Linked DNA regions of Cricetulus griseus. The protein of the gene in region 2 interacts with the protein of the main gene of each other region in a pairwise test. Links are inferred from orthologs where the notes say so. Each region holds a gene or a part of one and is shown on either strand. Other genes may lie near its edges.

Evidence for each region.
Region 1: the proteins of Srsf11 (region 2) and Srrm4 interact in binary tests that used the Homo sapiens proteins (3 or more experiments, as listed by UniProt). The link is inferred for Cricetulus griseus from reciprocal best matches to the Homo sapiens genes SRSF11 and SRRM4.

The regions. Positions count from the first base shown.
Region 1 is NC_048597.1:96,498,734-96,502,355, forward strand, and holds part of Srrm4 (serine/arginine repetitive matrix protein 4), read right to left. Parts: intron 3,217-3,622; coding exon 3,013-3,216; intron 529-3,012; coding exon 418-528; intron 1-417. UniProt on the Homo sapiens protein: Splicing factor specifically required for neural cell differentiation.
Region 2 is NW_023276806.1:1,639,500-1,643,321, reverse strand, and holds part of Srsf11 (serine/arginine-rich splicing factor 11), read right to left. Parts: intron 3,821-3,822; coding exon 3,693-3,820; intron 2,435-3,692; coding exon 2,353-2,434; intron 909-2,352; coding exon 777-908; intron 1-776. UniProt on the Homo sapiens protein: May function in pre-mRNA splicing.

The DNA.
Region 1 (3,622 bases), on a different chromosome or scaffold from region 2:
TATTGTCGTGTGTTGTGTGTGTGTGTGTGTGTGTGTGTGTGTGTGTGTGTGTGTGTGTGTGTGTGTGTGTAGGCACAAAGGTTGGTGGGTGAGGAGGACCATATCAGAGGCTCTGGGGTGGGCAAGAATTGGGGCTGTGAGTGCAGGGGCGAGAGGAAACAGTGTGCAGGGAGATGGAGCCTGTGGGTGTGAAAGGGCAGTAGGTCAAAGCGTGTATTGGGCCTTGTTGTCACTCTCGATTGGACAAAAAGGACTGCAAGAATTCCCGTCCCCACCTCTCCAACGCCAGGAATTGGGCAGGGTTTGGGAGACTGGTACAAAGAGGCAAGGCCAGAATTTAGGGTCTGAGTAAAGCAGTGTGGCCCAGGAGGCAGGATCCATCCTGGGGGTGGGGTGGCGGGTGGGAAGATACGATACCTGCTGGGGCTGTAGCGAGAATAGCTGGGACTGCGACGAGACCTAGAACTTCTGCTGGGCGGGCTCCTTTTGCCAGATTTGGAAGAATAGCTGGGAGAGCGAGAGTAGGACCTGGGGAAGAGGGAAGAGGCCCTGAAGACCTGCGTTAGGGTTGTGCAGACGGCTAAGCCTCTATGCACCTGGCCCCCAGGTGGCGCTCCTTTCCTTTTCGTAAAGGACCCTGGCCGGGAACCAGAGAATGAAATCCTCTCCTTTTTGATTAATATTAATTAATAATAATACGAACAACCCCCTGTTATTTACTGAATGCTTATTGTCCTGGCCACTTTTTCTTTGTGATGTCTTGGACACATGATTCCATTACTCTTGGCTTCTGTTTTCTGATCTGCAAAATGGGGTAGTAGTACCAACCTTACAAAGTTGGCTGTGAATCCAAATTAGAGCAAACCACTGATAATACTGGTATATATACTAAGTGCCAATTAGCCGCTACACTGGAGACATTAGCTATGACTATTATACGTTTTATTATGTGCCAGGCATTGAACTTTTTTGAAAGTGCATGTGTCTTACTTAATCTTCAACATATCCTAGGGTTGGAACTGTTACTAATTTCAAAGACACAGACAGACAATGGAATTTTATCAGTGTCACACAGCTAGTGGACACATGAATCCAAGAGTGTCTGGCTGCAAAGAACTTTTGACTTCTTCAGATTATGACAGTCCCATCCCCCCACCCATGATTTTGTCTTTATATGGCTTCGTGAATGGATTAAAAACATTAAGACGTGGAAAATTCTATAAACAAGTAATTCATAAGTTTAACATTTCAAACCATCCAGAGTAGCATGGGAAAAGTGCTGTTGTCCTGTTTTACCCTACCTAGGAAGTGGATTGTTTCTTTGTGCAGAGTTTCCATGCTGCATAGGCTACTTGCCTGTTACTAAGTAGCCTTCTTGTGATCACAGGATCATAGTAAATATGTGTAAGCAATCCTTATTTACTTAAAAATGGTCCACAAGAGAGTAGTGATTCTACTAACTCATACATGTCAGAAAGAAGCAGTGACATGCTTACACTAAGTGAGTGTATGCATTCTCCATTCAATAAGAAAGAAAGGAAAAAAAAAAAAAAAAAAAACCCAGAGGCAGAGTGTACTAAGATATGTGGCAAGAACAGAGATCTCCAGGAAACAGAAGGAGAGCAGAGCTCATGTTAATTTTGCTACAACACCTCACTCACATTGAAAATACTTGCATCATAGTGCATGATGCGTGCTCTAGTCACAAAGGGAGATGGACAGTGTTGTTATAGGGTTTGGTACGTATCCAAGGGTTTGGCTACAGGCATCCACTGGGGATCAAGAACCATACCTCCATTGGACAAGAGGGAGAGAGCACCTCTTGGGGATGCATCTCAATTACTAGCCCTGTTGTTCACACTTACTCTCCCTCTTTCACTACTGATGATCCATCCAGCTCTTGGAGAATATTATGGGGGAAGGAATAACTCATTCTTATTGAGTGCAGTTGTTCCCCCACCAAGTGTCCTGCCAGTTTGCTCTTTGCATTAGCACTGAGAAATCTTATAGAAAAAAAAAAACATAAGTAAGTGCTGGTTTTGAAATTACCAAGCAAGGAAGCAACTGAATTTTTATTATATGGTTGAGGAAGAGGAACAATCAACTTGCTGTTTGAATTTTTTGTTTAAAGAGGGAAGCTGGGCTCAAGGAGACCGTGAGGGTTGGGTTAGATGGGCTATTCCAGTTCCTGAGATCTCCTGTCTGTATGTTTTAAAAAAGGAGCTTTACCAGGTTACTATACAAGGTAACCAAACAATACCAATGGCTATTGAGATTGGGAGATAAAATACAAAAACAGTTGCACTTCTTCTCTCTATCTTGCATAACCCCTGAAATGTAACTCTGTAACTCCTCTCACTAAGGGAGAATTTTCTGGGTCTTATGACTTACTGTGGCTAATAAAATAGCAGGAGGGATGGAATGTTACTTAACGCTGAGAAGTAAGGAAGCCTTGTACCTTGTATATATATATCCCTCCCTCCTTTTCTTTCCTTGTCATTACCTTGTGTACAAGCAGATAGGCCTGCTAGCTGATGAGAGACAACACAGAGCAGAGACAACTAATCATTGGATGGCTTTCAATTCCCAGCCCCCAGCCTACTCACCATCTGGTCAAAAACACATGAGGGGGCTGAGGACAGAACCAGCCAGCTGAGCCCAGCATAAATTGTTAATCCACAGAGTTACAGAGACCAAGTAAATGCATTTTATGTGAATGATGATGTTGGTTACTTTTTATGCAGAAGAAGTTAATTGATACCTCATCCTCATGCCAACACAAGCAATAACAGTCAATGCTCCTTGTGTTCTAAGTGCTTGCACCCTAGGAATGAGCCACTGGGCCACTGAGCCACTGCATTCCTATTATTTTTATTTTTCACAGAAGAAAACAGGAGCTCAGAGATGTTGACTGTCTTTCCCAAGATTGTCAGTAGCAATGGCTGGAGCAGATATTCAATGTCAAGCCTGACTTGACATACAGCAGGTCAAACGTTGCAAAGACATACTCACCTTTTTTCAGAGGAGGTGGACCGGCTCCGGGTATACCTGGGGGAAGCTCTGTGGTTTGGGGACCGGGAAGAGGGACTGGAGGATCGAGTGCTGGTGTAGGAGGAGCTACGGGAGCACTCTTTGATGGGGGAGCTCCGGGCTGTGGATGGGACCAAACTAGACTTCTTCACCTCAGCACACTGTAGACATGGAGACTGAAATCCTCTGCAGGAGGGAGAACATCTGTCATTACCCAGCTGCCCTTGCTCTGGAGGTATCTTAACCTGATGCTTCCTCTACCACCTTTGACTAGGATAGAGTCAGTATCCTCAATTCCTTTTTTCACCTCCCCTCTTTCTGGGAAGAACTGCCAGGTGACAGAATTTAGAAGGGCAGAGATAGAAAAGATGAATGATATCTAATCAAGAATAGTATTTAATTCAATTCAGCATCCCCCAGGTAGGGGACACATACCACACTGGGGGCTACTTCAGAGTATTCCAGGAGGTCCTTGTGGGCACAAGGCTAAACAACATCAAATCATGTGATGATCAAATCATGTGGTGAGAGATTCCTTCCATCCCCTTTCTTGTCCTTGTTCAGTCCTTCTGATTGCATGGATGAGAAAGCC
Region 2 (3,822 bases):
GTTCCAAGAATCAGATCCAGGCCACCTGCAAGAGCAGCAAGTACTCTTAAATGCTAAGTCACCTCTCCAGCCCCAAGACTAGTTAAAAAAAAAAAAAAAGTATTTTTAAGTCGGGGTGGGGGGGTGAGCATATCACTTTTCTTACAAATCCTCAATTGGTCAGATCATGGGACAAAAGACTTTCTCTAATATGGCTTCATGTCTACTCTATAAATGATCCTTTGGGAATGTTTCCAATCACTGATGATGACATAAAGATAAATGAACACAGCTAGGTGTCTGCTTGGAGCTCCTTGGCACACGACAAGGGAGGTCTGGGAGTCTTGAACCCAGACCCACAGCAGTGGTTGAATGGAAAAGAGGAAAGCCAACGAGGTAGGTGACAGGGTAGCCAAAGGAATTTATTACTAAGAAATGTTATAGGGGCTATAGAAATGCCTTAGCAATTTAGAACACTTGCTGCTCATTCACAGAGCACTTCTCTAACTCTAGTTCAGGGGATCCGATACGTTCTTTGGGCCTGTGTGGGTACCAGGCATGCACATGGTGTACATATATACATGAGAGCAAAACACCCATACACATCAATTTTTAAAAATAAAAAGTTACACATTCAGCTTGACAGGAGACAAGGAAACAGACAGTAGCATCCTCAAGCCATAGTTTATTTTCCATTTAGCTACCACCTGATACCACACCTATGTTGTAATAAGAAGCATAGCACTGAGGTCTCAGGAACTGTGGCTGCTGCCTCTGTCTGTACTGTACACATATACCTGGCTTTGGACGTGCTCCTTGACCTTCTACCCCTCTCTCTGGAATGAGATCGTCTCCGTCTTGGACTTTTGGATCTCCTCCTACTTCTGGACTTGGAGTGTGACCGCCTCCTTGATCGGCTTCGTGACCGCCTAAAAATGTAAAAGTATTATGTGTGCATGCAGAATGCACAAAGCACCCACCTCGGAGGTATGAGCTCAGTACCAAGCACTGAAGAAAAACTGGCCTTCACTCAGCTGCGGTTGTCATGTAGCCCAAGTGAGGTCTAGGCCTCAGCAATGACTAGCGAGTGTGTTCATGCGCATGCACTCTCTGCTTGTGAATGACTGTGACAGCCGATGCTCATGCACTCCAAATTGATGCTAGAAGACTCCACAACAAAAACATCATTTTCCAAGAAGCAACAGATATAGGTATTCTAAACTGAGTATGTGAAGGATGTTTTCTTGAAGATGAACAAAGCATATTACCCCCTTAAGGAAAACAAATCCGTTGCCAATAATAAAATCTGGCTTCCCAGAGCGGGTAAAATGTGAAAACCTGATGCTGCTAGGTAAAAGTTTTGTGATGAAATCTGAGGCTGATATCAAATGCTATTTCATAGAATTGGGTAGCAACCAGAAATAATCAAATTCGGGCAATTTATCAAAGAATAGTGATTATAACTGCCTGAAAATATTAATGTTAACTCCCTTTTCTAAGCCATGAGCCTCAGTTTTAAAATAGGTGTGAACAAGGCTGATCGTGATCAAAATAAATTGTATGAAACTCCCAAAGAACAAAAATATCTTAAAAACACGTGAGCCAAACAAGCATGGTGATGTGGTCTTTAATTCCAGCACTTGGAAGAAGCAGGTGGACCTTTGAGTTTGAGGGTAGCCTGGTCTACGTGACGAGTTTCAGACCACCCAAGGCTAAGTACCGAGACCCTATGCAAAACAACAGCCCCTTCCTCTTCTGAGAAAACAACAAAAGTGAACAAGAATATAGTGTAAAAATTTGAATGTGAAACCCCATTATTTCTACTGGGCTAAAACTTTAGATTGGTGAAGTACAACAAACCCCCTTTCACCATCAGGTGTTTTGGGGGTAGTTAAGGTTTTCATTTTTTTGCAAAGCTCTGTAAATGAGATAGGCTGGCAACTATGACAGCCTCAATTTGTAATATTGTTAGATATAACCACATAAGCTAAAGTATATTGTCTTTATTTTTTACAGCATAAAAGCTAGAGTTCTAAGTTTGGAGGGATATCCACTGTGCTACAGAGAACAAACAGTACATATTCACAAAAGAGTAGGTATAACTAATGTGAGAGACGAGAACAGATTTAGCTTTAACTTTTGCTACACAGACAGCAATACTACTAACAACTTCATGTTGTATGTGTTTCATACAACTATGGCATTTTAGTGTTTAAGTTCCAAAGCTTTCCTACCATTGAAGAGTCTTTAACCGTTTTGCTAAGTAGGAAGCACCTGTTCATGTTATACCTTCCTCCTAATATACCCAAGGCAACTTTAACACTCCCAGCAATGATTAATGATTAGGCCCACTTTATATAGGAGACTGCTAACCTGTGTCTGGAGGATGAGGGGGTCCTCCTCCTCCTCGAGCGCGACCTTGATCTTGAATGTCTTCTCTTTTCTTCTTTCTTGTCTGGATTTAAAAGAAAAGGAACTTGTACTACTAAGCATTTATGTCAAAATTGGAATCCAAAGCCATGACTCCTTCACCTGCCACTGTACCTCAGTGACTTTAGGAAGCCAGCTTTTCTCTGATGCATTTCCATTCCTCTGCTACCATTTTTAATTGTAGTTTTAAAATGAAACTGTCTCACTTCCAACATTCCAAATTTCTTTCTTCAGGACCTAAGCAGCATGCCACTGCCCTTTTCACATGCTCACAATCACCAATGTGATGCCACCAATTAAGTTAGGTCATTTCATTCACAGGCTTTACTTTACATAACCACAGAATTCATTATATGCAAAGCACCGTCATTTCAGCCTCAGTTTTTAACAGAAGGAGTTAGAGTATAGAAACTCTAGAGAACTCAGAACTCAGATCTACATTTGAGACAACCTGACATCTTACCAGATGATAGACTTAAAGTACTTGTTACCAGCTTTTTTTTTTTAAACTAAAAATTACTTTCTAAATAATAAATAAGAACAATAGTTCCACTTACTAAGGATTAAGAGTAAAAACAAAATGAATCAAACACTTAATTGGGAAAATGTGCTTCATTACCACAGATTCACATACATATAACAAACATAACTGGGGCAATCATTTAATCAATCTCAAAAGAACAATCTATCTAGAGCTAGTTTAGTGGTGATGTACCTGTGTTAGTATTTATTCATCTGTATTGGCCTGCCTTTGGACTTCTGACAGGATATGCCCTCAGCTGCTGCCAGTAAGGCCACCACTTGTACCTATTCACTATGTTCCTTTTTAAAAAGGCCCTGCCCAGCTCCCACCACCCTTCCTCTCTGGCACTGCTCCTGTCCCAGGAAGCCAGTCTCCCCACTTCCCCTTTTACAATCCTTTTCCTTTAATAAAAACAAAACAAAACAAAACAAAACAAAACAAAAACCCTGATTGATTGAACTCTGTCATCTGATTTTCTCTCTCCAGCAGCTCTTCTTTTTTAAATTACAACAACTTGCTTAGCATCCACAAGCCTCCAGGTTTCTTCTCGGCAACTCCTACCACACACCCAAAAGAATATGATTGAAAACTATTAAATGATTTGTCTCTCAGAATACAGAAAGTCTTAAAACAACAACAACAACAACAACAACAACAAAATACCCAAGAATGTTATTCAACAACTTCTACATTTAAGCCATTACCAGGTTACCAAGAACCACAATTCAACATTCAAGGAAAATGTGTATGAGCATATTACCTGGCTCAATAGCGGCAGAAATCAGGGACTGGGCCTCACGCACTCTTTTCATGGCTTCCTCTATTTCTTTACTAGAGGTGTCTGATTTCAGACTTGGTGAAACAAGACCAGCAGCTACATGATTCAATCT